Styela clava: one gene and its partners. The protein of the gene in region 1 binds, or shares a complex with, the protein of each later gene. Links are inferred from orthologs where the notes say so. Each region holds a gene or a part of one and is shown in the gene's direction. Other genes may lie near its edges.

Region 1 (10,248 bases):
TCCCAAAGAGCCACAAAATACAAGTAATAGCCTTGTAGCGACAACATAAATCTTTAACCACTGAAAATGCTAAGGCAATTAATTGGTCTAGTAATTGATAAAAGGCGATTTTTCCATAAGGACAACTAAAATAATTCTAACAACATAATATCAAAATGATCTATAGGCCCACTTCGTGTCCAATAATCTCTAATTTAGTACTCATATTATGAGTCATATGGCTTTATATATAGGAAGCGTGAACTTGTATAGGTACTTCGGACAGTATCTGTTCAATAACGTAACTTATTTAGACAAAATAGCAAAACAAAAGTGGCAAGAATATCTTACATGGAATTCTGTGTATAATGCTCAAATTTGCAAATAGAAACTATAATATTGTCAGTATGATTTAAAGATGCAACTTTCTAAACTGTCTCTAGAAAAACCTCATCATTTTGTTTGGTTTGGACAAAATTTTCAGGTAAAAAATGTGGATACTTGCTTTAAAATTTAAATTTAAAAGACTTTTTAAAGATGTCAAAAAAGGTATAGGAGACCTGAGAGATGGAAATGAAGTGATTTTACATTTTAGATACATAAGTTATAATTATCTTCATAATTATCACTAGGTCATGATTTCACTGATACGATCACTCAATATTGGTTTTGTTGAGAGTTGACAAAAGATATAAAATAGACAAAGGATATCAAATACAAGTCATGGTAACACACCCTAAATTCAAATGCTTTAATTGCTGCATTCCACTGAGTGATGTGGGTAATTCCTCAATCAAATTGTTGAATAGATTTAAAATAGACAAATTTGCAAGTTCTCCGATACTTGGTGGAACTGCAGTTAATTTGTTGTGACTCATCGTTAACTGTGTCAAATGGTCCAGCATCACTGAAAAACAAAAGTTAAATACAATAATAATTGAGATAAAAATGTTAATATTTGAATTTGGTTCAACAAAGAATTGTACAAAAAGACCCAATTAGATAAATATTTCTATCTCATAAACACCACAAGAGTTTCTCATGTTAGTTTAACACAAAAGAAATGTCATGAGAAATGTCAAATTTTACATCTATAAAATCTGGCAAACATCATCAACTTTGCAGTTGGAAGTAGGAGTTGGCATAAAAGTCCTCCTTTATATTGGTTTCGAATTGATCAAACTTATTCAGACATCTCTACATCGCACACTTAAGGACATTCATAAATATAGCACAAAATAAAACATTGTGAACAGAAGCAAAATAAATAACATAAATAGAGAAAAACAATCCAAAAAGGCATACTAGCAGAGAAACTATTACAAATTGATCTAAAACAGTATTTTAGAATATTGAATGCAGTATAGATTGGGTCATGTTTGAGATAGAACTTCGCATAAATCATGTAATATAAAAATTCATTGAATTTGATATTGCAATATAATATATTAAAATTGCATGAACAAGGCAAAAAAATTTCAAATTTGAATAATTCAACCAATCATGGCATTCAAGTCGCAACATTTCCATTACAAGTATTCAAATATAACATAACAAAGGATCTTCCACCACGGGTCATGTAACATGGAAAAAATACCGTCATATCAGATATATATACTTCTGTGGAGATAAAAACCACCTCTAAAAGTAATGTTTCTAAAACATTCAACGCTATTTTCAAATCTGGACAGATTTTACATACTTAGCCCGGGAACTTCATTCACATTTTGAATCCCTTTATCACTGAGATCAACTTCTCGACATCTTGACTCTTTCGCTTCTTCAACAATTTTTTTCAACTTTGACATTGTCAATGATTTTCAAAAAATGTCATGTATCAATAATCTAAAGAGTATGCGAAAACACAATAAAACAACAATTAGCAGAAAATTTAATAAAATATAGAAACTCGACATATTCTTACAGGTCGAAAGAATTGTAAGATTCACCAAGTTGAACAAAGAAATCATATTTATACACAGACAATAAACCACAAGGTAATATTAATAATAGGAATAATATTTATTGTACACTAAACAGCGAAATCAAAAATATCAAGCCCAAGCTATTGCATAAAATGCACCTCCCAACTTCAGATAAAAACAATAACACATAAATCATGTACTTGGACAAATATTTTGAAAAGTGTTCGAAATATTTAAATGTCAGGCTATTACATAAATCTGAAGCACTGGTGAATATGGCTGTACATGATTTACATTAGAATGACATTATTTCCAGAAAGGAATTGTGTTGTGAGCTCATGAAATATGATAAGCTGCTCAGTTAAGTTAGAACATAGCAAATATCCTGGATACCGAGATATTAAGCAGTATCATACTAAATGTTCAAATCGGTCCCAAAGGATTCAATTAGACACAGAATAATTCGTTGTATGGAAGAATAATTTAAAGATATAGATAACCATAATATAATCAACTTTAGAATTCTAAGGTATGCTTCACACAGACAGCATTTTTTCACAGAAGCTTTAAAGGAGTATCACTGCTGAGTGCAGATTGATTGTCACACCAGTGTCTTTACCAGTGATATTTATTCATTTCAAGATGTTGAGCAAAAAGTTTGAGAATACACTACAATTTTTCTACAATATCATAGCCTCAATTAAGTCAAAAATTATCTACAGGAAGAACAAGATCAATCTGCAGGTTAATATGATATGAAGTATTAACAAATTATGAATTGAAATACAATTAAATAGAAAGCAGAGGTTATAGATAAAATTGTGGAATCATAAATTACAAGGATAAAAGCAGTCATTTCCACTTCTTCATCTACAGGCTTTTAATCATATGCTATGACATGTGATTGATTACTGGATAGCAATTAATTTACCTAATAGCAACAAACAATATGTAATTTCATAGTAAAGTCCTTGGACTTCCAAAATTTTTCAAACTATAATTAGTGCCATAAACAAAGGTCCTGCTTCTCCAAAAAAGTTAACATGTGACTATTCAAAGATGGTTTTTCTCTCATTTTTTGGAATATGAAAGTTTGGGCATGAAATAAATTGTCATGACTGCAACTTTGCTCAAACATTTTTGAAGACAATTTATGCTAAAAAATGGAATAGTAGCATTATTTTTAAATAGTTTGCACATAGACATAGTGTACTCAAACAGTTAAATACTAGCGAGTTATGGCAGAAAGATGAATATAGTCTCTGACATATATTGACAAAATTTTTCAAAAAAATTAAAAGACCAAAAAACACATTTAATGTGCAGCTTTACATTGATCAAGTACATAAATCTGTAAGTACGTGCAGTTGTAATTTTGCCACTGCAAGTCTTGAAATAAAATTATATAGAGAATTGTTTTCAACTACCATTCAGATGGTCTTAAGTTTCGTGATGCGATTATGACGACATAAGGAATCAAACAATTGTGCAGCATTTTTTGCATCGTCCAATACAGTCTTCAGATTCAGGACTATTGCTTGAAGTTTGTGCAGTCGCGACTTTGTTTTTCTCATCTTTGATCAATTTTAATAAATCGAAAAATACTTTGTCAACATTGCTTCTTGTCTTGGCCGATGTTTCGACATACTGAACTCCCATATTATCAGCAAATTGTTGTGCTTCACTTTGTGTGACTTGACGTTTGTCTTCTAAATCAGACTTATTACCAACAAGAATAAATGGAATATTGTTCGCTGTTACTGAATCAGCTCCTTTAACGCGCAATATTTGATCCCTGAATTCCTGGGTGTCATCAAAAGAGGTTTTTTCCGCAATTGAAAATACAACCAAAAAACCTTCTCCGCTTCGAAAATAATTATCTCTGATGGCTGCATAGTCTTCTTGTCCAGCTGTGTCTAAAATATCTATTTGAGCATCTTCACCATCCAAAATTACTTTTTTTCGATAACTGTCAGCTTTGGTTGGTTCATAATCTTCAACAAATTCGTCGTACATGAACTGGAGAGTAAGCGCAGATTTGCCAACTCCTCCACTTCCAACCATTATAACTTTGTGAAGTGCAGCTTGAGCATTTGATTTATTTTTGTTAGCTGCCATTTGTTAACATTCGTATAGTCTATCTATCACAAAATATAATTCTCTAGTAACACAGAGGCACAATACATCGACTCAAATTATTGCAACGAAAATAGCCGCACCCAAAAAATCAAAGACCTTCGATAAAAAGGGGGCGTGGAATCTAAGCCCGAAATCACAAGCCATGACGTTACGTCACATTCCGCAAGTGTCAGGTTGACATGCAGCGCCAAAACAATAATGTATGAATGCTTAAAGTCAAAAAAAGAGCATCAGTTGAATGACCGGGGCAGTTTCTTACACCATCGTGATCGACTGAGGACACTTCAATCCAGAATAGCTGAATAGAGGTTTGGTAGTGTCATAAATAAACCATATAAGACTCAAACTCCATCATCTGAACATATTAACATTGAGGTTTTCCAGCTGTAAGCTCTGAAGTTACAAACGTATTCCGCGTGACTGTGCTCTTGAGTTTGAAATTGTCTATTTGTTAAAAGCGCTAGTTCAGGGTTATTTATGAGTCAGCTGAAAAAATATAATAGACTACATCCTATTCCTTTCTTCATTTTTTATTTTTTCATAAAATTGAGTTGAATCAATTCTGTACATACAGACATAGACGAATGCCGGTACCGTACCCGTTGCCTATTTCGGCATTTGTTTTGATAGCAATAAGAAAATGATATCCCCCCTTTTTATGAAATATACATCTTATATAAAAATATAAGAGGTTCATATTTTAGCCACGGCCCACGGGTGCTGTTAAAGACAAACTAAACAGTTGTTCTGGTCTAAGACTCATAAGTATAAGTATATTTTGATTATAATATAAGTAGACTATACTTCTGCTTTTTATGGTGACAAATAACATACATTGATTCTCTCTGTGTACTAATATTACTATATATTTATTATATTTAATTATTTCAAGTAAATTCTGAGAAAATATTTTCGGATACGAATATGAAGGGAGGAATATGAAATATCGAATATGTTTTAAATTATCATCACGTTCATGTGAAAGATTGCATAAATCATTTGTCTATATCTTCTTCACGTTAATCATATCTAAAACGACATAAATACGAAAGGTAATTGTTTTTGCTGTTTACTAGCTTGGGATATCATACGTTTTGATCTACATGTCTGATGACTCAAAATTCCTAATTTTTTGATGAAAATGTTCCCAACTATCTAAAATTCAAATATTTACTATATTGAATATAATGAATTGTGAATGTATTTGAATATTCAATTTGTTTTATACGCCTGTGCGATAAGGCATTTACATATAACTTGGTTAAAGATTTGTCAGTTTCCTATTACTGGGTATCATAACGTAGTTACTTTGCAGTATCACATTCATTACCACACTAAGCTAAAAATGAGAACAATCTGCTACTCCTGTATTCACGTCTTGAAATCACGGTGTGTTAATCTAAACACCGAACCAGAAAATGTTTATGCATATCGGCAAATTGCAATTGCTTAATTCTTTATAATTAGGTAGATTTGTTGCGATATATACCTATGTGTTGTGAATGTGATGATAGATATTTGATAATGTGACCAAAAATGTCTTTTTCTGCTAAAAACTGTCAAATGCTACGATAAAATTCTTTTTTCTTCCAGTAAATTGGATTATTATTTTCCGAAGAATGTGATGTTGATGTTTTTAGATTGCGTATTCTTTTAGTTATTGTGCAGTGTCAGGTTGGTGATTTGTGCTGATATGGAGGCCCAGACTGTCTCGTAAAGAAGGTGTTCGCACTGATTGCTATAATTGATTTCTATAAATGATTCTAAACCAGACATGGGCAAACTACGGCCCGCGGGCCAAATCCAGCATGTTGGGTAATTCAATCTGGCCTGCCTGATGCAGCCACAACCAAACTAAAATTTTGGTGTTTTAGCTGAAAATAGCTTAACTAATGAATTTGTTGAGATTGTGAATCAATTTAGTTTCAGCATGAGGCTTATTGTTTCCACTTTTGCTTTTATGGCAATGTAAATATTGTTTAAAAAATGTAATTTTTTACATCACACTTACATGGCCCGCCTATCTAGGTGTGCAAAAATTTTGGCCCTCGAATCCAAAAACCTTGCCCACCCCTGTTCTAAACCATGTTTCATTTTTGTCATCATGACAGGTTTAGTTACATAATTGGGTCTCATAAGAGTTACAAATCATTATTTTGATTTAGTGGTCTCTAGCACCAGATTCCTGGGCAACAACCTTTGTTTTTTAAAACATTCTCTTTATTTTATTCAACCTGTTTCTATTTATGTGGTAATCCCATAGTAAACAAGGCCTGGTTTTTAGGCATCCTTTCTTGTTCAGTTTTATTGTTAACTATTATTTGAATTCTTTCACAGATAAATAATTATAATGAGCAACATTTACATTAAAGAGCCCTCAACCAATGGCAAAGTTCTTTTGCATACATCACTTGGGGATATTGATATTGAATTATGGTCGAAAGAGGCACCTATAGCATGCAGAAACTTTGTGCAATTATGTATGGAGGGATATTATGACAATGTTATATTTCATCGCGTAGTGCCAGGTTTCATAGTCCAGGGAGGTGATCCTACTGGGACTGGATCTGGTGGTGAATCCATTTTTGGTAAACCTTTCAAAGATGAACTGCATCAAAGATTACGTTTTGTTCGAAGAGGACTCGTGGCGATGGCTAATGCTGGTCCAAATGACAATGCTAGCCAATTTTTTTTTACTCTGGGTCCATGTAATGATTTGAACAAAAAACATACAATATTTGCTAAAGTTACGGGTGATACTGTATATAACATGGTTAGGCTTGGTGAGGTCGATGTAGATGAAAATGAAAGACCTTTAAATCCCCCAATGATAAAATGGACAAAAGTTCTTGCTAATCCATTTGATGACATTGAACCCAGAGTAGAGCCTGAGAGAAATAGGAAAAAGAAAGATGATAAAACAAAGGCTAAGAGTCAATCTCGTGCCACAAAGGATTACAAATTATTATCCTTTGGGGATGAAGCAGAGGTTGATGAAGAAGAATCCATTGAATTGGCCTTCAAAGGTTCAAAAAGTAGTCATGACTTGGCAAAAGATCCTAAATTGAGTGCTGCACCAGCTATTTCTAAACTTGAAGAAAATGATAATGAAGAAACATGTAAACGAGACAGAGACAAAAGTGAGTCTTCATCGTCAGATTCTACTGATGAGTCTTCTTCAGGAAAAGAAGAAAAAAGGAATTCTAGGCAACGAATAAAAGACAAACTTACAGCAGCGAAAAGGGCAAAAATAGATAGGTCTGATACAACTGAAAAGACGATTTCTAAAGAAAACATAAAGGATGAAAAACTGAAACAACTTCGTAACGAGTCCAGAATGCTTGCCAGAGAACTAGCAGGAAAGTCTAAAGAAAATATTGAAAAAGTTGATTCATCATCTGGAAGTGACAATGAAACTAATACTGCATCTTCAAATCAAATGTTTGCTGAATATAAAGCTCAACAGAAAATCTATCGGGATAAAATTGTTGGAACAAATAAGAAAGGATTGTCACGAGAACAGCAAACACTTGCAATGTTGGGCAGCTTTCGTTCTAAGATGTTGGCGGTAAAGGAAGAAGAGAGTAGTGAAGATGAAGCTAAAGATGATGATGACAACAATTTCAATGTTGTTGGATGGATGAATCATAAATTTAAGAATGTCGACCATGAACTTAGAGATGCTAAGGATATGAACAGAGATGTTAATGAAGATAGATATGAAATCACTGATCCCAGAAATCCTTTAAATCAAAGGAGAAGAGAGAATGATAAAAAGAAAAAAGACAGTAGTAAAGAGAGGCATAGAGATAGCAGGAGAAATGAATCTTCTCGTCGTGATCATCATCATAGTGACAGACACCACCGCCATAGGAGATGAATTCTTTTATGGCCATCTGTTTTGACTTTTGGAACAGTTAAAGTTGTCCAACGTTGATATATTTTTGAACTGAATATGCGATAACCAGAGTGTTGCTGAAAAAGGGTCAGCAAATAATATGTGATCATATTCAGGGAATGGTGAATGGCAATCTCATCTCTAGAAATGTTCTTGAAGCTGATAGAACATAGTCATCACAGGAAAAGAATAAATTATAAAATGCCATAAAGTGAATGAAAACATTAAATGTAACAATTATTTATTGATTAACCTGTAGATTTTTTATGGAATAATATGGTTTTAGTTTTATATGATTATGGTTACCATTTCACGCCATAATCACCCCAGTTATGAACTAAAATATTTTTAGAATAAGAAAGTAAATTACCTATTTCAAAATGTCAAAAATATTGAATGAGAAGAGAAATGTAAGCATCAGAGTATCTGAAGCAATGGGAATGATATCACCACTAATCCATATCGGGCAGTTCAAGGTAAACTATTATTAGAAAAGGACTAGCAATATTCCATACATTCTCCATTTTGTGTACTATGACCTAATTTTATGTTTCAGAAAGATGCCTCACAAGTACTTGATGAATTTCACATGAACATTGATAAGAAAATATCAGACACACCAGAAGATGTTGCTCATGATCTAAACACGAATGTTGAAACTGCAACCGAGTTGATGGAAGTTTGTAGGTTGGTTTTTACCAAGTACTGTGTTGCTAAAGAGACTTCACAAGTAAAAAAGCAAATTCTTCTAACTGAATTTTCTAAACTGATATAGGCAACTGCTTTCTATCCTCAATAGTCAAAACCCCATCTTAGAAATCGTTTGATCAGGTCAATTTTGAATGATATCTCATATATGGCAACAAACCTGATGATGCAGTGACTTGGTTTCGTCTGTTACACAGAAATTGTCTTCTGTGACAGTTGACATTTTTTGATGCACTGTAAGTAATATACCAGTAATTCTCTCATGTTGAGAAATACGTCAGCATACATTTTTTGTGCAATTTAGTCCAAATAAGCTTGAATGTCCTCGAGAGAAAAACTTCCATCGTTGGGAAGATGTCAAGCTTATTCCTACTGATTCTGGACTGGATACTGTGAAGGCATGGATAAAGTTGAATAAAACGAGGAATCTAGAAAAGAAAACTATTATTCTCAAGAGTAAATACACTGAATATGATTGCAACTTGGTAAGATTTTCAGAATATTCTCTTCTTTTGTTTTCATATTTTAGCATTCTGTATGATTTATAGAGATATGAATTTTAGTTTTATTGTGAATTTGTTATTAGGCAGATTATTTATTAGGATAATTCGATTTAATGCTTTATTATATAATAATAAACTAATGTTCAATTCCATATGTTGTATGGTAAGAGTATTTTGTATGACTGGTTTTTATATGATCCCGGTATTGTAGTGCTTAGGAATTTGCCAAAGCATAATTTTGAAAAAGTTTTTCCTTTTGTAAATCGTTTAAATGTAATCAAATAGCATACCACCACTTGGTATACTTTAATCATCAAAATAATTCTGTTTTGCTGGTATTAGGTTCGGTTTTATATGTAGTTATAGTTTATACAACTCAGACAATCAAACTAACACCTCGAACCTCTGAAATGTTTCATTTGTGTTCCGCATTAACAAAAAGGCTGAAAACCACTGCTGTAGCCATTTGACTTGTTGCCCTTGGGTTCCATTCTAGTATGGTTGAAGATTCCACGAGAAGAACTTCATGGCCAAAAAATAATTCGAAATTATTTTTATGTTTGATAGGCTCAAGTGGGTATAACTGGGTTTTTGTTTCCAGGAAAATCAGCTATCATCAAAGCCTGCGAAGAATAAGGATGATAAAATAAAATGTCCAGAAACTGTGATAACAATTGGTGTCAATTTTCCAAGATCATATAGAACGTATAAACACACAACTGTTGATTATAGAGTTTTAGGATCTCAGGTCAGTTTTGTCATTCCTACAATTCACATTTTTAGTCATAAGTCCCAGTAAAGGTCCGTTTTAAATAATGTCAACTTGGATTCAAGTCTACCGTATATAAAATCTATTTGTCGAGTTGGGTCCAGTACCATTTCAACTGCAAGTTGTAATTACCGTAATTCCACTAAAATTCTTCGTGTGATGTAATATGCTACTCTTGGTGACTTGGTTAATCTTTGTGCATTTATATTTATTGTTTTGTAGAAATTGACAGAACTCAGAGATATAATACCATGTGCGATAGATCAGCAACCAGTTGGTAAATTTACTGATAATCCAGATCATCCTCGGGATATTAAATGTAAAGAT
Region 2 (10,879 bases), on another chromosome or scaffold:
GAAAGCAGATGACAAACTACTGTTATTGGTAGGCCTAGGCTACTTGCCATCTAGGAATACGCTCGCCACCGCATCTCTGATCACCCTGGTAGTTTCACAGGTTCCAATCCCATGCGGGGATAGTTATGTGCGAGAGGATTGCAGCTCCACTCCCACTGAGGGTGGTTAACACGACCACTGATCGGTTACGACCATCCCCCACCATCCAAGTCCATGCTTCTGAAAACAAACAAAAATATCTGGCTAACTAATCCCAACATAGAATGGTAATCGTACGAGAGACTGTGGACTGTCGTACGAGCCCAACCATCCCCCCTCCTTTCCTAAAGGTGCTTGTACAACTGACCCAAAATGTCTTTTTATTGTCATTGGCAAAAAAATATATGCTACCCGGAATCAAATTCATTTACGGCTAGTGTTTGTGGTGGGATATGGACATAAATTTCACACCACTTGATCGTTAGATTTTATGAAAACTCTACAATTATTACAAAGCTAGTGCAGGATCATGATATCGAATGAATCTGTATCCATTATCTTACAGATATGGGTGCGACCATGGAATAGATGGATGGCAAAGTATGAGTTGCAACAAGACCACAGCTTGCGTGACTTGATGATACATCCTCAGTATCCATTTATTGATGCTTATCGTAATGACAAATAACTTGTGATTACTGTGGATTGGTGGAGATAAATGTCCATTGTGCTTGAACGAAAGCAACTTCAATACGACCCGATCAAGAAATTTTTTTTTGTTTCGGTGGGTCTGGTAGTGAAGGTTTCAGTCTAAAGTTGGACACCGATACTACAACCAAATACAGTTGCAAATGAAACTTAGTGAAGCGTAATATTGCGAATTTGTGATCTGAAAGAAAATTCTGATGGGTAGCCGGCTAGCCGCAACCTTTTGTTTAAAGAATATTATGAGATATGACTTAAGAGTCTAAACTTTTATTCGAGAGGGGTGTAACCCACGTTAATTTGCATATGGTAACCATGGTACCAAATGTATCACAAACTTTACAGCAATCATAAATTATATTTGAAAAATAAAGCACATCAAAAGTGTATTTTTAAAAAACAATTGGTTTTATCTGCAGATACTAGGTTTATATTGAGATTGACCATTTCAATGCTAAATTTTCCTCAGTCAAAAGGCACACTTGATTCGCAAAGATTTGTGAATGCGCACAGTACACCAATTTGTCTAATGTTTTGATTCCATAGGCAGGAGGTTGTGAATCGGTGCTGCTCAAGATGGGATATTTCTGCTTATAAATGCATATTACGTGTTTCACATGAATACATCGTGCTCAGATTCGACTGTTTCCAAGGTCTAAAGGCTCCAACTGCTTAATTTTATCGGTACACAAGAGAATTTTCAATGTGACATGCATGGGTCAGCTGGAGTCACTAACATGAAGATATCTATAAGCAAGGATAAGATAACCTGGAAGTAACATTCCATAATTTAGAGTAAACAAGACAGCTACGCCCAAATATATGGACACGTCTGTTCGCAGTACAGTACGGTTTACCGTACCGTCGATCAGCGTAAGGAAAAAATCGTAGCAAAGTACCGTAAGGACTTCGTTACGAACCATCGACGTTCGATGTCACGTGATCAAAAAGAAGAGGAGTGTCGTCTATGCGTCCGCAGAACGTTCGGTGACGTCATACCAAACAAAAACAAATCTCACAGAGCTAACAGAAATATTTGAAATAAATAAAAGTAATGGCCTTCTGGAGAAAAACTTCATCTTTAACCAGTAAAAATTTCGAAGCAATCGGTCCAGTAATGAAAGAGAAAAGCGGTTTTTTAGATTTCCCACTAGATGTCCAAAAAGTTTCAAAGAACAACAATAGGACCAACATAACATTGAAACGATCGTTATGTCCACTACGTGTCCGAAAATGGATCTGCCTCCACAGCCCTTTCAAATGGAAGATATGACTCTTTAGGGGTAATTTCTATCAAATATTTTACAGTGTTATGGTTCCAATGAAAATGGGTATAGGCGGCTTCTTTTAAAGTGTGGTAGGTCTAGTCGAAAGACACATTAAATGTTTATGCTAACAACTGCAAAATTGCAACGCATATAAGTTAACAGAATTTGTTGAAATGGTCCTGCATTTTGCCTTTCTTTAAAATCCCTCTTTTTCTAACTATTCTTTTCCTCTCTGGGGATGGCGAAAATTCAAATATTGATGGCTTTTATAAGCAGCTGATAATGGGTTCTCTTTCCTTTTTCCTGAAAAGAAATTAAACACTAATCATCAATTGACAGTGCCAAGTTTGTGTATCAGATCAGTAATAGATTACCTGCTAACTAACGAAACAATCAGACAACACCTTCTGACCATTAATGAAGATTTCTTTTAATGTGAAACGCAAATATGCCTACCAATATCGGTAGTTTTTAGGAAAGGATTTATCATGGGGGGAGGATTGCAAGGTGCAACATCGTACGATTACCATTCTGTGTCGGGATTAGTTAGTCAGGTATTTGTTTTCAGAAGCATGGACTTGATGGTGGGGGATGTCGTAATTGACCAGCGGACGTGTGAACCACCTTCAGTGGGAGGAGAGCTGAAATCCTCTCGCACAAAACTATCCCCGCATGGGATTGAAACCTGTGAAACTACCAGGGTGGTCAGAGATGCGGTGGCGAGCGTATTTCTAGATAGCGAATTCAATTGAATTCTGGTTATTTTTTGCATGAGCACTGACTGGTGTTGAACTTTAGTTATCTATTCAACTTTTCACACTTACTAATAGATTACCTGCTAACCAGGGAAACAATACCTTATGGCAATTGATGATTTATTCCTTACACAAGTCAAGTCTGCAAGTAGGCCTACCAATAACAGTAGTTTGTCATCTTCTTCCCTTTGAAATGGGGAAGCTTATGAATATTTAAAGAAATTGATAACGGCACATTATCACTCACCACCAACGAAGTGCTGTCCGCAAACAGTGAAACACAAGCGAGATGACTTCTGAACTTGACACCAAGCAGTCCTGCCAATAGATGGTATCTTTTGAAAAAGTGGAATATAACTGAAGATCCATTTCGTTGTCTATACTATACATACAGCCAACGGTACAATACGAAATAACCATTTTCCACACCCAAACAAAACGGAAACGTATAATCCGACCTGCAACTGACAGGAGCCAACTGGACGTTTTTGTTTTTCTGCCGTCCAGTAAACAAAGTCACGTGACCCGTGCAAGTCCTCTATATAGCTCTGTGTTTTCAATGGACGTGTGCCCGAACCTTGACCCCTCAAAAATTCTCCCTGTATTTTGGAAGTGTTTTGGAGAGTTGGCGCTTACAAACTGGCTCACATGTTTGCAAACTATTTCTATTCAAAATCTTGAACCACGTGCCACTTACAGGCACTGATAGCTAATTTTAGGCTTGCCTATCTTAGCGTTTACGGTATCAATTTTTGATTATTGCAACTAAACTAAAGGTCCTCGGAGTATATCATGGCAATTAAGGTATCTGATGTACAGCTATTATTTGGAAACACAACTGAAAACTTACACGAAAACGAGGTAATGTTTACAACCATGCTTGAACAATTCTAAGCGAAAGAAGTGTCTCAGTGGCTGCAAATTGCAATTGTACGTCACTGTTAATTTATTTTCGATTGGTCACTTTCACGCAAATAAAAAAAAGAAATTGATTTTCATCCATACAGGCAGGGCCGAATCATATGGCCTTTTGGAAGCCATAAGCACTTAAAAATTTGTTGCCTTATATGTAAATGATAATAATAGGTATGTAACTAGTGGTGGTGGTGGTAACATTGGTGCCTTAAGCACGTGTTTATTTTGCTCAATGGTTTATTCAGCCTTGGCTACAACATCGCTGCATTATTATACACTCACAAATCTGTCAGCATAATAGAGGGCGCTCCGGAGGTATTCGTGCCAAGATGACGCACAACCTTAACAACCCTAACCTGGTACCCATACTATGTCCAGGTTGTGCGCCATCTTGGTACGAATACTCCGGGATCACCTAATAGAGCAGGACTATGTCACTATATAGAGTTAGTCTCGCGTTGTGAAACTAATACTTTCAGTAAAATCGAATATTGACAGTATTAGAGTTACAGTTAAATGCAATTTACACGTTTAGCGACTGACGCTTTTTAACAGTATTGAAGTTTCTGTGAAATGCTATTTATACGTTTAACAACTGACGCTTTGTAACAGTATTGAGTTATGGTGAAATGCTATTTAAACGTTTTACGACTGACGCTTTTTAACAGTATTGAAGTTACAATGAAAACTATTTATATAAAATAACAAGGGGGCGCAATGGGAATTAATTCCCAATTGTCGTGCGTGGACCACCACATTGAATTATCTGACAGAAGTAACTTTGTTCAATTCTTTTTATTGCAAAAGTATTCAAAAAAAAAAGTTTCTAGCTAGCCTATGTGGGCTCGATACCGGACCAATATTAACTGTTGGGTCGTCAGACCGATTCGAGTTATTTCATGATACTGCGGAGTCATAAAAATTCGACCATGGAAATTGAAATTTGTGTGGTGCTCCCTTTCCCTTGCTGCCCTAAGCACGTGCTCATTTTGCTTAATGGGTTATCCGGCCCTGCATCAACAGCGTCATCATGCAAACAAGAGAGCTATGCTCAAATATATGGACACGTAGCGCCACATAATTTTGATGACATCATAGCAAAAAATAAAAGTTATAGACTTCTGGAGAAAAATTCCATCTTTCACCACTGAAAATTTCAAAGCAATTGGTCCAGTAATCGAAGAGAAAAGCGGTTTCTTCAAAACGTGTCGATGAACAAGAACAACAACAACAAAACGATCGTTATGAGAAAGAGAGAGAGAGAGAGAGAGAGATTTATTGATTTGTCAACCGGAAAACAAACAATGGTATACAAATTAATATATACAATATACACAAAGTTAATTTGGTATAGACTGGGAGAGCGATACGACCATAAGGTCATCGGAGTCAGCTACCCCCCAAGTTCACTATTAAGATTCACAGTTAAACGAATGTCCACTAAACGTGTCCAATAATGAAGACGCTTCAAAACGTGATCATTAGCCAATGAAAAGGATTCATTATTTTATCACCCACAGATAATAAAGTCGATGAGCGGCTGGCCAGCCCGATTTTTCTTTATTTTCAAGAAAGTTTTGCAAATTAAATTCTTTTTGCCTTTCACATTCTGTGGATTGTATATGGATGGGAGCCAAACAGTGACGCAATTTAAAATTTAGAAAAAATTCCGATTCTATTTTGTACCAAACTCACTAACAACAGCTTCGCTCATTTCGGATAGTGAATGTATCTCAAGGTTTAAGAATGGGTTCGCTTACTATCACGACATTCTAAGAATGCGTCGCTTGAACCCCCTGAATCCCACAACTTGATATCATTAAAATTGTTTCGAAATTATAAAAAAATTGTTATTGACTTGGGCCAAGTTTACAATTTTGATCAAATTTTGCCAATTCAAGATATCTTTCTATGAAGGTTTCATATTTATATATTTTTTGTGCTCAAATTATCAAAGATCGCATGTAAAACAAGAGGCCAGCAACACATCCAAATAATCTTTCATTGAGATTTTTGGAATCATAACTTCACAATGGTTTGTGATCAAACGCCTTCCATCTGATCTGGCTTTTATTCCTACCAAAAAAAAAAAAAGAGTTTGATATATAATTGCTATTTTTCCGTCGATAAATCGGAATCACGACAATAATGAGTAAATTAGAATTGAAGACTGTTGAAGAACTATAGGAAAATTTCTCCACATGAGAAGCTGAACGGTAAAACGTCAGTTTCAAAAAATAAACTTGCACACTTTTTCCAGACGATAACAAATAAAATGTAGGCTATTGGATCAATTATTTTTTAGATTTAATTCAAAACAATAAAAAAAAACAAATTTTATCCAGATTAATCGCTTGTACTTTTTGGGAATGTCCACAAGTTTAAGATTATGTGACCATTTTACGTTATATATATATTTCCATTGTTATTGAGAATCATAAACTCTACGATAGTGCGTTGGAAATGCTCAAGCAGGCTACCATCTCTTTGAGGCACTTTTCTTTCGTACAATTTTGTACTCACGCAATTGCTCACTTGTTGAATTCAAAATCTCTATCGACGGTAGAAAGTAATATGACGTTTGAATTTCAAGACAGCGTTATAGATCATGTTGATTGTGTATCTATAGTTACTTTTAGTGTTCGTGTTGAGTGAGACCATCTGTATTTGAATCTGAATTCTCTTATAGTTTATTTTTAAAAATATGTGCTTGATATGGAAGTTTCTTAAGTAAACCTGCTGTTATTAAATGATAGTTTTAATTTCAATACGTTATGGACTACGTTATCGGGTTATAAACAGTGCCGGCATTGAAATATCAGCAGACACTTTTTTTCTCAGACTGCAGGACATAGCGATTTTCGAGAAGAAGTTTTTCCGCATAATGATGTTTATCAACCCCCTTTTTATGACCCGTTGCAATCGAATAGCATCCTATACCTATTACTGTGCTCGAAATTGTTTCAATTGACTACATGCGATAAGGAAACTCAGAACAAAAATGTAACAATATTTAACGAGAATATCGGTCAGAGACCGAAGACTTATCGATCGAAAGTTAGGGGATCCCCCAAAACAGCGCTCCTATTCCACACTGACACCTTGTGTCCCATCACTAATTAATTAATAACTCGCTAATTATACGACCTAATTCTTCCAAAATCAATAGGCTTCTGATCCGAGATATGATGAATGCATATGCAAAATTTGGAGCGGATTCATCCTCGCTTTCGTGAGATATCGCGTGTATCTAACAGACAAACAAACAAACAAACAAACAAACAGACAAAATACCTATCAACATACTTACCGATCTTAAGATCGATAAGTAATAATAACGTATGGTTAACGTAACTAAAATAAAATGTAAACGACATGTCAATGAACACGGAATGAAATAAACAAAGTGGTTGTCGAAATTTAGTTTCTAATTTAAATTAAAATTTCAAAACGATCCATTTTTCCTTTTTGTCTAATAAGGCTGTTTAAGCAATGACCGGCAATGACCTAATAATATCGTCATTTAGGTCATTCGTTCGAATATTTTTCACAGTTCCGATGAGGCAACGAGACGCGGACGCGGGAAAAAGGCTTTCCTTCGGTGTTGCTTTTGCGCATTGTCTAGTTGTGACCTCGCCGTGTTAGTTTCAATTTTTATCTCGCTGAATACAATTGTTTGGCACATAATTTCATTAAAAATGTCTATTGGAGTTCCAATCAAAGTACTTCATGAGGCGGAGGGCCATATTATCACATGTGAAACCGCGAATGGAGAAGTTTATCGTGGAAAACTCATAGAAGCTGAGGATAACATGAATAGTCAAATGACAGATGTAACTGTTACTTATAGAGACGGTAGAACAGCACAGTTGCAGAATATTTACATCCGCGGAAGTCAAGTTAGGTTTATGATTTTGCCTGATATGCTTAAAAATGCTCCGATGCTGAAGCAACAACGCGGTGGTTCTGCCGGAAGAGGAAAAGCGGCTATTTTGAAAGCTCAAGTTCGCGGCCGCGGAAGAGGCGGATTCAGCAGAGGAGGCGGTGGTTTCAGGGGCCGTGGTGGATTTGATTCTGCCAGCTTCCGTGGACGTCACTAATCCTTGGATAGAGTTGAAAAAAGTTATTGGCCCAAGTCTTTTAGATTTTGTTGGAGCTGCTCCCACCGCCTTTCAATCTAAGCTTCTGCTATCCACAGATCCATGCTTACTGTCTGTGATTTATTCATTTCTGGTAGGCAGCTGATGTATTATATCATTCCATTATGTAGTTCTGGCTTGTGGTAAATTATTGATTGTTTTTAGTGTGACTGGATGATATTAATATCTATACTTATGTCCATTTTGGCATGATTATTTTATAATGATCCAGAAAATGTGTAAATTTCAATTTTTGAAGTTTGGAATGATAGTCTACCAAATCTTAAAATATTAGGTAATACTCAATTTCGATTATATTTCTGTTATTATGTACATCATCTTGAGATCCCAATATTGGGAGTGATGCATATGATTTTACATGTTTGTCTTGCATAATATTTGAATTATTTTTCATTCGTTTTGGTTTCTTTTACAACATCTGCCTGCCTGTATGTAAAGGCAGACAGGTGTTGCAATTTTTGGTCTCCAAGTTTTATTCAACCTGGGACAATTTCTTTTAGCATTGCTCGAATGTGATTACTGTTATATCAATGTCTACGAACCAGAGCGAATTTTAACACAAGTTGAATTTGAATAATATTATTCTTGATCTGTGCATTATATTTCTTGTGATGTTAATTTGCTGCTATTAGCTTCATTATTTCAGTCTGCTAAAGTCGGCATTATGTCTGTATGTTGTTGGTACCTTTTTTTGATGCCACTTTGGTATGTAATCCCAATGTCTGATCTTAGAGATTTTTGAATTATCCTAACCCTAACCCAGTGATGACAGACTTGGGATTAGAAACTGAATTCTATGCGAATTTCTTTATGAGATTAAGTAGTTTTATGATTCGAAATCGCATACCAAAGTGGCATCCTTTTTTCAATCATGATAGGCTAACGATACGTTGATTTTGTTTAGTGTGGATCTGGGAATATAACTTTGTCAGATTTTGGTTCAAGATTTAAATGGGTCCAATTTCTTTTTATAACAGATTTGAGTTCTTTTGGTATTGTGGTCTTGACATAATGATGGAAACTGTGCCTCCGACTCCCACAGCTGAGGAACGAAAAGTAGTTCAGGAATTTGGTGATTTATTGGAAGCTTCTAAAAATCTTTTCAATGGACTCCGGTAATTGAAATTCAACATTTTCAATAAACATTTTCAAGCATATCAAATACAAAAATCAGGATTTTCTGCAAAATCCTTTGTGACAGTTTTTCCAGATTGAAAATTTTGTGGTTTGAACACTTGTAAGGATAATATATATGAACGATTATTTAGAATACTACTTGACAATTCGTCTTTCCGAAACTGCAGTTGAAACGTAAGGGTAGAATCGTACACATTTAGAATCCATAACCCCAATATCCTGATTGATTGATCTTGTCACACTTGACCAGATAATTAAAGGATATGGTATGTATTTGTTGGTAATATTTTGTTCTTGCATTTCAGAGATCTACCTCAATATGGGCAAAGACAATGGCAACCATATTTTGCCAGAACTTTTGAGACATATACAAAGTTGTGGAAATTTCAACAAGAAAACAGGTTTATATTAATTCATTCTATGCTAATTTTGAATCCTTATTCTTGCTGTCTCAACCAGGGTGACCTAAACTACATAGACTATGCAGAAGATTTCTGGGCGGGGGGTGTTCTGAAAACTCCGTAGCTCTTTTTGTATTAGTGTCTTTCCAGACCAAACGTGTGAAAAATCGTTATAATATTACAGACTGTTCAGTTACACACTTTTTATAAGATGATATGTGCAACATTACATAATGTTTTTTACTTATTTTCAGACTGGTTTTAGACAGTGTATATGGATTGAAACGATGGCAAATAGGTGAAATTGCATCAAAGATTGGGCAATTATATTATCATTACTAGTAAGTGCTATTTAAAAATAATTTCCTTTAATGTAGTCGCCAAAAAATCATAGTTTTACAAAAAACTTATTGAAGTGGTATTTCAGCCTACGAACGAGTGAAGCGAATTATCTAAATGAAGCCTACCATTTTTACTCTGCAATAAGAACAAGGAATTATTACAAAAATGCACACAAGGAAGAAAGGTATCTTCGTTTGTTCGTGTGATTTGGGGGTTTATTAACTTGCATTCTTAATTAAGTTAATGTCATTTTGTTTCAGTTGTTCTGATCTGTTGTTGAAGAAGCATCGATATTATGCCAGATTCATTGTTGTTTGTTTATTACTTGATTACAAGCAGGATGTTTATAATCTTGTAATGGTAAGTTCTGTAGTGGTATGATGTTTATTTATCGCATGAAAAAAAATTATGCTTTTTTCATAAACATATGGCCAAAAACATTTCCAATATTTGATATTTTTGAACTTGGTTTTGTTGATAAAAAGTTTACATGAAACCATGTATGGGAGGATTGAGAATAATAGATATGTTTTATTTTTGATGATCTATATACCTTATTGGTATAGCTTCCTTTGTGGTCAATGATATTGTATATATAACAGGGCTCTTCAAACTGCGGGTCCCCACCCCGGTCGCAAAAGGGTCCAATGGGAGTCGCATTGTCAGAACTAGCCATGTGAGAAATCTTTTTCGACACCAACTTATGTTAAAACAAAATATCAATCAAATTCGAACTATTTGGAACTGCGACCCAACATTACCGAAATAGAAACAAGATTCGATAGTTTGTGCGAGAATATGCAATAATATTTGTTTCATTAAAAATTTTTGGGGTCGTGAAGAAAAAATTGGCCATGCCAAGTAGATCGCGATGAAAAAAGTTTGAAGAACACTGGTTAAGTGATGGTTAGTTCTAATGCTAATCAAGGCTAAGAACATGCTAAAGAGTTGTCGTTCGTCGCGAGTTATTATTAATTGATTAGTGATGGAACACGCGATGTCGCTATTGAATCAGAGCGAAGGATACATACCGCTAGATCAATAAGTCGGCGTCTCTGATTGCTATCTAGTTGTATCAGTTACTGCATTGCAGATAAACAACACATTTAAGCATCATGTTCAATATAGAATTATGTTGTAGTGTTTCGCAAAGAAAAAGCCTCTTAATATTACTTCAAATGATTCAGGATTTTTCTAAACAAGTTGAAGAACAGAAG
Region 3 (11,196 bases), on another chromosome or scaffold:
AATTGTGTTTGCAGGATTTGTGTTGGATAATTATGTAAGAGAGGATTGCTGAACACTATATATGTGTGTATTAGGAAATAATATTAATCTTACTCTCCTCCATATATAGTGTCTTTGCTCTCCTCCGGGGTAAATATAATTCCTATTCTATCAGACACATGCAGGAAACAAGTCAATATATTGAAATTGAATAATTGACACAAACATAAATTAAATAAATAACAAGCAAAGAACTTTACCCGGTCCCTCTTATGCAGCATGGTTGGATTTAAAGTTCTATATAATTGTAGAATGGATCTTGCTGCCATCATGACAGCTTTATTTCTGTATGTTTTATATTGTACAAGGTCTTGTAATAAACTTTCATTCATGGCAAGCGGGCAACGTGAACATATCTCTCGGACAGCATTCAATCTTGAAAGATCAATACACAAATTTAAATACAAGATCGTCAGAAAATTGCGAGTATTTTATGCTTATTTACATTGACATAAATGCCTTTTTCAACAGTAGGTTTGCTGTTATACAAAAAAAAGTTTGCGATACTTTGAAATGGAATTTAATGATTTGGTCATGTCCACTGTGCTAAATTTTTAAAATATCTCAAACAATACTTAATTTATATAAAAAATAATACTTACCCAACAGCAATAACTTCGCTTGAGTTTCGTTCAGTAACAAAATTATTAACAATAGTCATAAGTAGTGGATGTAAAATTTCAGGTGGAACAAGGGAGTGACTAGCTTGTGCTCCGCATAACAACATTTTTGTAACCTCTGAAATAAGCAGAAAACTAATTAAAAAATTACCTTATACCCGCGATAAACAAAATTTTATAATCCTTCATCAACTAATGAATTCAAACACCTGGCAATAATGGGCTAAATAATGAGGGGCCCAAAAACAAAGCCCATGAATTTCTCAATCACTTCTAAGAAAATTATTTTGACATCTGAACCCAAATAAATTAATATAAGATAAAAAAGGAAAAAAAATAAGAACTAACCTCTTTGATGTGGTTGCAAAAACCTTTGTAGAAAAGGATAAAAATTAAACAGAAACAATTCATGAATTCCGATAATTCTAGAGATCACCGTCATCAACATTAGTTTATGTTCAAATCTTTCAGTAGACTTTTCCAGGACTTTGTACAAACGTTCGGAAAAACCTGTAAAATGCAGTTACAAATATGTAGAAGTTAAAATTAATTTCAATGGAGATTTGTATGGCCAATTTTGGTTTAGCTGTATAATAATTTGATTCTAGTTGGTATTAAGATATTTTATCTTTTATATTAGATAACGAGAATTTTTCGGGGATTGTGACCAATAGATGGAGGAGAAAAAAAATTTCCATATTTATCCTTGGGATGAGAGGAAAGTTTACAAGACGGCTTTAACCTATGCTATGGCAAACCACATTCTCTCTTCCATTTATCAGTCCAGATATATGAATGTGCATTATACATATTTTTATAGCTACATCAAGTAAGAAAATTCAGAATCCTTGAGAACTAAGCAATAGATCTTCTATAAAAGGCAGGATATTCAATCAATCAAATCGTTTTTTATTTGTCAATTAGGAAAAGCACAATGAAATGAATGCAAGACAGCTTACGAAATATTTGTATATATTTATGCCTTTGCACAGAATGGACAGGATATCCACAAAATGACCATTCGGTCTACTTGCCAGCGGAAACTTTGAATTAGCTTAAAACTAAAAATTTGCATAACGTAAACGTTCAATTCAAGACAATGAGTATAAAACAAACCATTTTGTGTAAGAGATAATAAAGTAATAATTATTCTACAATTTCAGCTACTACTCTATCTTCGTGTTAATTTGAACTAAGAATGTATATATACCTTGAGGATCATGCAGAAGATGAACTGCAGAAAAATCAGTTGCTTGTTTTTTCAATTTCTTCTTATGTTTACCCAATGTTTTCAACGCCTTATCTCTTTTCTTTTTAGCTCTTGTTGATTTCTTATTTACACCAAACCTGAATGATATCATGCAATTGAATAATCATGTAATGCAAATTGCAAACAAATAAATGAAAGTTTCACTGATATTCTTAGCATTTCCTAATTTCTTTGAAAAAAGTCATATTTTACAGAAAAAATTGTATTTACGATTGTCGATGGATTTTTTTCGCATACCATCAAATTCTAATTTTGTTTATAAATAATGATTATTAATACATAATAATGCTGCAAGCCTGCAATCATATACAAAAATAAATTTAACCAATGTAACCTGATGTTTAACAAATTTGCCTGAAGTTTTTGTACAATTACAGGCAAAAACCCAGCTGTAATCAGTTGCAATTACTCTACTTGTAATTAGTTTAGTGTATAAAAAATCGCGAAAATGATTGCAAAATTATTTTTTTTATTGATATTTTTTCAAGCATAACCATTCATATATATAGCCTATATGTAGACCAGGGGTGGGCAACATACGGCCGCAACGAGATTTTGACCGGCCTGCTGACTGTATCAACCACACTCTGTAATGTGGTCCGACGCATCATTCTTGAAAGTTACCGATCGCTCTACTCTCACCTCACTGTTAGTGCGAGCTGGTGAAATAAACAATTGTCCTAGTGAACAAACAATTAAGTTAGCACACTTGTTAAAAGGTCAAAGCAGAGAGCGTTGTAAACATTCCCCACTACTGTTATCAGTTATATTTAGATTCTAAATATAAATAGATTTTAGAAATTAGATTTTATATTAAGATTTATTAAACATGGAATATATATATCAAGAAAACGTAAAGTTGACAGAGAGTGTCGAGCAAAACATTTAACATAGATTGAGCAGAGCATTTAACAAAGATCGGATACCAAAGTATTTTTTGTAATGATCCGGCCCACCGAGGACTTCATTCTCCCACATCTGACTCGCCGACTAGAGTTGCCCACCCTTGATATAGACCCTTAGGAATTCAGCTATTACAATACAATCTTGTATTTTTTGGTGAAATGGTGCGATTGAGTTTGACATGGACATAAAATGAATAGCTTTGTCATATTTAAAAAATATGGTGCAAAAATAACAATATTGTTAATACTCCTAGATTAACTATTACGTTAAGTAGATTTGAACCAATTATAAACACACCAACCTTATAAGAACATCTCTAGCTGTTACTTCGCCATTATCTGAATCTGAATCATCTTCGACTCTACTCTTCATTTCATCTTGCCCAAGAAAAAATCGAAGAGCGCATGATGAAACCTGGATTGTACATTAAAAACAGCAGGAACATTTAGATCAAAAATTAATATAATTTTCTCATACACACCTACCTATGTAACGGGGAAAATACTGTTATAGCGTAATACAGGTATATAAAGTTTATTTGACTTTCACACTTTTCTTTATGAGAAATATATATACCAAATTAAGTTTGAGAAAACACAAAATATTTTACAAATCTGATTTGTTTCATACTCTGGGTGAGAAAGGGGGTATTTTGATAAATATTGCAAACTGAATAGGAACCTATAGCATATGATGCCAATGCAATAAAGCCAAGTTGATGGGCCAACTAACAGGTGTTTGATTAAACATTATTTTTTAAACGATATTCGAATATAGCAAAACTATGTTTTACACCGCTAAATAATGTTAAATTAATATATCATCAAATAAAAAAACCTTTGTAATCTTTGAAAAGCATGCTGTGCTAATCACATTCACTGTTTTTGTATCATTCCATATTTGTCTGTGGTATAATTCTGTCATAACATCAAGCGACATTTTTGCCGCAATTGCATTACTGTCTGATAACATTGTGTACATGAAATTTTGTAGCGCCTAGGAAAACATAAACAAAAGAGGTTGAGGTCTACTGAAGCGGGATTCGAACTCTACATAGAAACAATTTTTAATATACAAGTCATTCTACTCATTTTTTTTTCTTTCGGGTGAAAAAAATTGCTACAGACATTATAAATCATGAGCTCAGACCTATTCAGATATAATATAAGAATAATTACAGTGGGCTATATAAGTTATTCGAACTAAAAGCTTTTGATAAGGGTGTGGATGCCCACCTAGACTGGCAGGCCATCAAGTGTGACATGAAAAGTTACAACAATATTTACAGTGTACAAAAGCAAAGGTGGAAGACAATAAGCCTCGTGCCAAAACCAAATCCAATCGCAATCTCAACAAATTCCTCATTAGTTTGGTTGTGGCAGCATCAGCAGGGCTGGATTGAATTACCCAACGGGCCGGATTTGGCCCGAGGTCCGTGAGTTGCCCATGTCAGATCTATAGTTTGTAGTTGAACACGCCATTCAAACTGACATGAAATTTTAAGTGAATTCAACTTACCTTATTTAACTTATTATTCTTATGCTTATGATTTAAATTCTTGATATCTTGAACTATGAAATTATACAGCGTCTGAAATTAATAAAATATACAAAGAAGTAACTTAATGTAAATTAACAAATTCTTCAACCAAAGTCTACTGTTCTATGATAAATTCCGTATGCAGATTGCCGAATCCAGTCTTTGTGGAATGTAATAGCTAGATCTTCTCATAAAAGTAGCTTATCTAGAGCCTTGTTCAGATAAGAGTTATAATAACCCAATCCAGAATTGAATGTAAGACTGTAAATATAAATATGAATGAAATTTTTGGATGTCCGTTTGCAACACAGAAAATAGTTTGTATAGCTAAGCTGAATCAGAATATTTTAAACTTGAGCAATTCCTTGACTACTAGTGCCTGATAATACAGAATGTACAAGGGAATGAGGGAAAACTTAAAAATAATTTAACCATAGCTATTCGGACCTTGTCAAGTATTTCCAAGTAACTACTGTAATATGAAATCCACATATACCTTACGAAGAAGTTTGTCAGGGCATCTCAATAACTCAAAAAATAATTCAAACAAAGAATGTGGTGTTATAAGATCCTTGTTTCGAAGAAGCATCAAACTTTTGCAGAAATTCTGAAATATTTAAACAAAATTAATTTTATCGAATAGCAAGCGTATTTAATTTTACATTTTGATAATCAACATTAAAAATATACTGACCAGTCTCATTTCATGGTTTATCGAGAGTGCATGTTTCTGAAGAATTTCTTGTAATTGGTTGGGAAAATCTTTTACCAACTCTCGATAGCAATGAGCTACCTAAATATAAAAAATAACAATTTAACATTAGTATATAAAAACCTCAACATGCCAGCACATCAGATAATGATAGAATTGAGACTGGATTACTACTGCTTTACCAAAAAAGCAACTCCAGGATGGTGATGACTGAGGATGTATATTTGAAAATTAGAATTACAAGTCATAATTCTTTCTAAGATAAATTAAATCTGTTGGGTGCAAGTCCCTAGTCCCCAAGTTTCAAATCAAGTCAGGTCACACGGGTCATCTGATCTCAAGTCAAGTCAAAGTTTCAGCAAATTTTAAACTTTTGAGTAAAAGTCACTGCACATCGATTCTGAAAATTTCATAAATAACAGTAAAATTGATAGATATGATTCACACCGACACCAGAAACTTCCATTTTGAGTTAAAATAATGGTCATTTCGAAATCAAAATTTGGATTTATTCTTGTATTGATAATATTTAATTTGACATCATCACAGCCTATGTCGAATTATCGCTACAACAAGCTAGTGAATACAAGATTTATCGATATGCAATATACACATAAATGATAAACAAGAACATGCAAAAACAACCTGCTGACCTGGCCGATAAATGTTATGAGTTCCGATAGATCTTTCGATTCTTCATTTGGTTGAAGAAGAAACAATTTCATATTGGATTGATATCTCCGATACTGTTGCTCGAACTGTTAACATAAATATAATACAAATATTTGACTAGATATGTATATCCTGATGGTATATCACAACAAATTTAATCAGATCAGCTTAAAATTATCCAGCATTGTAACACCACAGTACCCAAATCTGCCCATTAATACATTATTTTGCGATAAATACAGAAGGTATTAATGTCATGATGTGCGGAATAGACATTGTAGATACAGTACAACTTCATTTTGATCTTTCGTCTACATCACAGAACATGAATAAACAAAAATAAAATACACAGACAATGACGACAGGAAGATCGGGAGAATGGGAAAAACTAGAGAAATGTTTATAGCAAACGCTGTAACATTTGTGCCAATTCAACCACACAAGTGAAAAAACACATGACATGGATCAACACAATCATACTGAAAAGAATAAATTCATAAACAGCATACCTTAAAACGATGAAATAAAATTCACGGGCGAAGCTTAGGCCGTCTTGTAGATACGATAATTTATTTATTAAAGTACTCTCACCTCATCTTGATAAGAAACCGGATCTCTTTTGATTAAATTTTGAAGCTGCGGTAAATTATATGGAAGTTGATTTGTTCTCCCCATCTCTGCACCAATATTTCAAATCAAAATATCCAAAGGAGCTGCCGATGGGCCAGTAATTCAGCTGGGGAAGTGAGATCACACAGAATCAGATCAGCTGTGTACCACGTGCCACGGTCACTTGAGTAAAGTGTGACATCATAATAGTGAAAACAAATTTTGTTAATTTTAAGCTCTGCAGTAATTTCTCTGAAAGTTGTAAATCAAACGTTGCGAAGCGCGGGTTGCGATGGTTTTGGTCAAGTTTCAGACAATAAAACTTTAGAAAGTGTGTAAAAGAAGAAAACTAAACATGTTCAAGAAATCCGGAAAGGTCAGCTTTTCTTTTTTACGAATTTTACTTTAATTTGCCAATCAAGGATAAAGCCTTAGTTGCGATTAATTCTAGTTTTCAATCTGAGAATATTGTCGCTTTCTACCGGGTTCAAGATGAGTCTTCCTATATACTGATCATTTTCTTGACCAAAATTTTTTTATTACCTGAAGCACATATTTCCATACAGCACTTAATTATAATATATGTCCATTTATCCAAGTTCTCGAATAACTCATCTAAAATCAGAAAATGTTTTTGGTGTTCTAAATGTTTCTGAATTTGGTTACTCATTTATGCTCCGAACTTGTGTGACTCAGAACTCAGAAGTGTTTTTCTAACAGTTATAACTATTATTTTTAATCAGTTATATTAGCAATAGGTGTTGTCATCTTAAAAGCATAAACTGTACAAAACGCTCAGATTAGACGGTTTTACTAAGTTTTGATTCAAAAAAATGTAATACACGAAAACCTAATTCTTTATAAAATTTTCACTTTGCAGTTTCGTGGTAGGAATAGAAGAAAGAAAAAAGACAGCGGTGATGAAATTGAAAAAAAAAGTAGTGATGAAGAAGACCAGGAAACTGTTGTGAGGAAAGAGAAGAAGAGAAAGATGAATCCAATGGTTCAATCGGTGAGTAGTTAGATAGATCGGTAATATTTTGTCATTGCCCCGCCGTTCATTTTCTGCTTTGTTTTATTCGATTCTGTCTGTGTTGGGTTAGGATAGGACATCGCCCTGCCACCTTTTCCTGTCTTACCTATAACTGCCCAGAAATTTGGTGTTGTAAATATATTCAGATATTGTTCTTGTATCACAGTATGTCATAGGATTCATCTCTGTACAAGAAATTATCGTCATGTTTTTATGAAGCTATTCTATCACAGATGAAGCACAATCGATACGCCAGGTGGAGTCGGTGGAGTCTGTATAATTGAATGAAACAAAATGATCATTCATTCATCATCACTTCCATATAATTTACAATGTTGGAAGACCCGAGTCCCTGACACAATCACCATTTATATAAGCCACGGAAAGCCGTCTGAATGAAATTGACTCGGAGTTATCAACTAAATGCCAGCGAGACCCGACTCAGTAATTGACTTTGGACTCTGATTTTTTTTAATTTCCCGTAATTCTTTTATGTAAGGTTCTACAATTTAGCAAGTGAAACCTTTAATATCATAAAATGTGTTTTTATCTACAGAGTGCGAAGTTCACAAAAGAAAAAGTAGATTACAGTAGCAGTAGTAGCGGTGAAGGTTCTGATGACGATAAAAATAAAATCAGTGTTTCCTACAAATCATCGAAGACTGCTGTAAGTTGTTTTAAATATGATTTGTGTATTTATTTCATGTCAGCCATTGTCAAAGAACCTACTTAGAATGTCAAGTAGTCGCTACTAGGCTTGTCCATAGTAATAAATTTACAACAACTAACTCGTTTTCTTACCAGTTTACTATATACCTGGCTGAAAATTGAAAATGACCCCTATATACCCCGGTATAAATATGTAAATCCTATCCTATATTTGAATAAAATTCAATTCTTGCAGACTTTTTTAAGTAGTACTTTCCTACCTTTTCTGCACTATAATTAGTTGATTCAATTGGGCAGGACTTCCATTATAATTATCCTGGTAAGAGGAAAGACGATTTAATCATATGTCTAAATATCCTCTCACACATAGTCGTCTCCCACAGGATTCATTCAAATCTGCAGTGTAATCAGAGGTGCGATGACGAGTACGTACTCATTTCTTAGCACTATGCACCGCTCCCGTATCAGGATATTTAATCAAGTACACTCTTTTGCTAGAATGACAATTCCTTTGTAAGAAGCTTATGATTCAGTCATTTTTTTTTTTAAATTTCACTTAGAAACCATCAGGACCTGATGATATGGGAGCAACAAGGACTTATGAACTAGACACAGAAAAAGACAGGGATGCACAAGCCATATTTGAACGTGGACTTGAAATTCAAGACAAAATTGACTCTGGTGAGGCATCTGAGAATTTATACAGAGGGCAAGCTGGATATAGGCAATTTATCAAGCCAAAGGTATGAATTGACAATGCTTGTATCTATTTCATTATTTCTAATATAATACATATACAAGCTTTCTTTTGTCACTACAATAGAATCATGCCTTATGTAGTCAGGCTGAGGGACAACTAGTATGCCTGTTATTATTCAGATAAACTGCATTTTAAGGTTCGACATAATCTCAGAAAGACTGCGAATTGATCTAATCATTTGAAACCCACAGTTGATGCACAACTTTCACAGGCGATAAGTCGTTGGCATAATGTTGTGGTCTAGTCTTGTCCGAGAGATCCAATCAGAACATATTCGAATATTGATGAGAACCAAGAAAAATTTCCTATCAATAATAATGCCACTTTCATGATAAAGGAAAAAATGTGAATATATGATCCTCATTTCCAATAGGAGCTAATGTTAAAATTGTTTTTTCATGCCATTTTCAGTTTTCCATATGTAGACTGATTTTTGAATGAATAAGGGTATATTCAATGAATATGGACTTGTTTTTTATCTCTGACTTGTCTTTGTAGGACACTGCAGCTGGTAACGCAGCATCAGGAAATGTTAGAAAAGGTCCAATTCGTGCTCCAGAACATTTAAGAGCAACAGTCAGATGGGATTATCAACCAGATATTTGTAAAGATTACAAAGAAACTGGGTTTTGTGGATTTGGAGGTAAGGATCAAGTAATGATTCATTTCTGATCGCAACACCGATGGTGGTATACAAAACGCTTTTTGCTAATAACAAATCATGTACAACCATAACAATAGGCAAAAACAGATATCTTTTTCAGTTTAGCGTTTCTTAAACCTCAGGTTTCATGACTTATTTCCAGCACTCACCTTACTGAAATAGAATTGTTGTTTAAATAAGAATGTTTAAAGCTAATTTTCAGTTCAACAAATCAGTATCAAAATTTAGGAACAATTTCCTTTTCTCAGATTCTTGTAAATTTCTCCATGATCGAAGTGATTACAAGCATGGTTGGCAGCTAGAAAGAGAGATGGCTGAGGGACATTATGGTGGAAACGATGATGAAAATTGGGAAGTATCAAGCGATGATGAAGATTTACCATTCAAATGTCTAATTTGTCGGAATACTTTCAAAGACCCAATCGTTACCAAGTAAGTTGGAAAGCAATACCAATTTATTTTCATCCACTCATTTATGGGTTGGCAATGATGATTTGGGGCCTATGATTCTAGTACTGTTAAAAGCAATACTGATGTAGGTCTGTCTACGCTCTTTTTTTCAGTTACATAAGCTGCTAGACCTGACATGAGCAAACTACAGCCTGCTGGCCAAATCAGGTCCATTGGGAAATTCAATCTTGCCCGCTGATGCTGCTACAACTAAAGTTGATGTTTTTAGAAGGAAGGAATTTGTTGAGATTGCGATTATATTTAGTTTTGGCACGAGGCTTTTTATTTTCAACCTTTTCGTTTGTAACACTGTAAATACTGTTCATAACTTTTCTGACGTCACACTTACATGGCCTGCCAATCTGAGTGGCAAATTTTTGGCCCAAGGTCAAAAAACCTTGCCCACCCCTGCCCGGGGTATCACTCAAGGCAATCAGCTTAGAGCAAAGACTTTTACCCTGTACCATTTGTGATATAGCTGTGTTGAAAAAAAAAAACTAGTTATGTTTATAGAATAGCTGGGACATGCAAATGATGAGTTTTGGAAAGTGGCCGTAGGCAGTGGTGGGAGTCAGCCGGTTCTATAGAACCTTCTCACGGAATTTTATGAGATCAGCGAACCGGTTAGCATTACTGGTTACTGTCAATGTTCTGTTTATAAAAGAACCGGCTGGAAAATATGACTTTTGGGAAGGAACCGGCTTACAAAAATTTTGAAGCCCACCACTGGCCGTGGGTCATGAAATTTTAAAAACTACTAATTTTTTAATATTGTGATCAGGAGGAAAATAACGATGCCAATTTTGTTGTTATAAATTTACAGGTGCAAACATTATTATTGCGAAAAATGTGCTCTGGATCATTATAAGAAATCAAAACGATGTTTTGTATGCGGAACTCAGACAAGCGGAGTTTTCAACCCAGCTAAAGGTATTCTGACATATCTATGCGCATATCAAATATGAAGTTGTGGTGGGGGATTGATTATTCGTATTTTGTATCTATTTTAATAGACACGTGTAGATCTTCCAAAAGTAAGATAGAAAATCCCACTAATGTGGGTAATTTATTGAACAGCCCAAGAACAAGTTATTCTGTTAATCGTTACCTAAATCAATTTTCATCTTCAATGTCCTTCACGATTACCGACATATAATCCATATCTAAAACAACCAAACTGATGCCCCAATCTGCACCACCAAACATCATAAAACATGAACAATTTATTACATTATAAAATATCACATGGCAGT

What was found. Proteins that work in one complex are often made in the same cells at the same time.
Region 2: spliceosome-associated protein CWC27 homolog (region 1) and small nuclear ribonucleoprotein Sm D3-like share a complex: the UniProt entries of both Homo sapiens proteins name them as parts of the minor spliceosome. The link is inferred for Styela clava from reciprocal best matches to the Homo sapiens genes CWC27 and SNRPD3.
Region 3: spliceosome-associated protein CWC27 homolog (region 1) and E3 ubiquitin-protein ligase RNF113A-like share a complex: the UniProt entries of both Homo sapiens proteins name them as parts of the minor spliceosome. The link is inferred for Styela clava from reciprocal best matches to the Homo sapiens genes CWC27 and RNF113A.

The regions. Positions count from the first base shown.
Region 1 is NC_135257.1:11,147,156-11,157,403, reverse strand, and holds spliceosome-associated protein CWC27 homolog, read left to right. Parts: upstream 1-6,370; 5' UTR 6,371-6,393; coding exon 6,394-7,923; 3' UTR 7,924-7,925; downstream 7,926-10,248. Other genes in the region: ras suppressor protein 1-like, read right to left, coding at 715-886, 1,682-1,787; ras-related protein O-RAL-like, read right to left, coding at 3,381-4,022; snRNA-activating protein complex subunit 3-like, read left to right, coding at 8,322-8,417, 8,498-8,628, 8,954-9,134, 9,754-9,900, 10,144-10,248. UniProt on the Homo sapiens protein: As part of the spliceosome, plays a role in pre-mRNA splicing. Probable inactive PPIase with no peptidyl-prolyl cis-trans isomerase activity. As a component of the minor spliceosome, involved in the splicing of U12-type introns in pre-mRNAs.
Region 2 is NC_135254.1:11,359,188-11,370,066, reverse strand, and holds small nuclear ribonucleoprotein Sm D3-like, read left to right. Parts: upstream 1-7,194; 5' UTR 7,195-7,320; coding exon 7,321-7,722; 3' UTR 7,723-8,733; downstream 8,734-10,879. Other genes in the region: protein SCAI-like, read left to right, coding at 8,734-8,897, 9,225-9,320, 9,575-9,661, 9,748-9,846, 9,923-10,022, 10,850-10,879. UniProt on the Homo sapiens protein: Plays a role in pre-mRNA splicing as a core component of the spliceosomal U1, U2, U4 and U5 small nuclear ribonucleoproteins (snRNPs), the building blocks of the spliceosome.
Region 3 is NC_135251.1:22,356,981-22,368,176, reverse strand, and holds the start of E3 ubiquitin-protein ligase RNF113A-like, read left to right. Parts: upstream 1-6,577; 5' UTR 6,578-6,722; coding exon 6,723-6,743; intron 6,744-7,247; coding exon 7,248-7,379; intron 7,380-7,956; coding exon 7,957-8,067; intron 8,068-8,629; coding exon 8,630-8,812; intron 8,813-9,327; coding exon 9,328-9,472; intron 9,473-9,741; coding exon 9,742-9,925; intron 9,926-10,766; coding exon 10,767-10,873; intron 10,874-11,151; exon of another isoform or gene 11,152-11,196. Other genes in the region: protein SDA1 homolog, read right to left, coding at 240-414, 642-777, 1,008-1,169, 1,870-2,006, 3,137-3,249, 3,673-3,831, 4,354-4,425, 4,871-4,981 and 3 more. UniProt on the Homo sapiens protein: Required for pre-mRNA splicing as component of the spliceosome. As a component of the minor spliceosome, involved in the splicing of U12-type introns in pre-mRNAs. E3 ubiquitin-protein ligase that catalyzes the transfer of ubiquitin onto target proteins.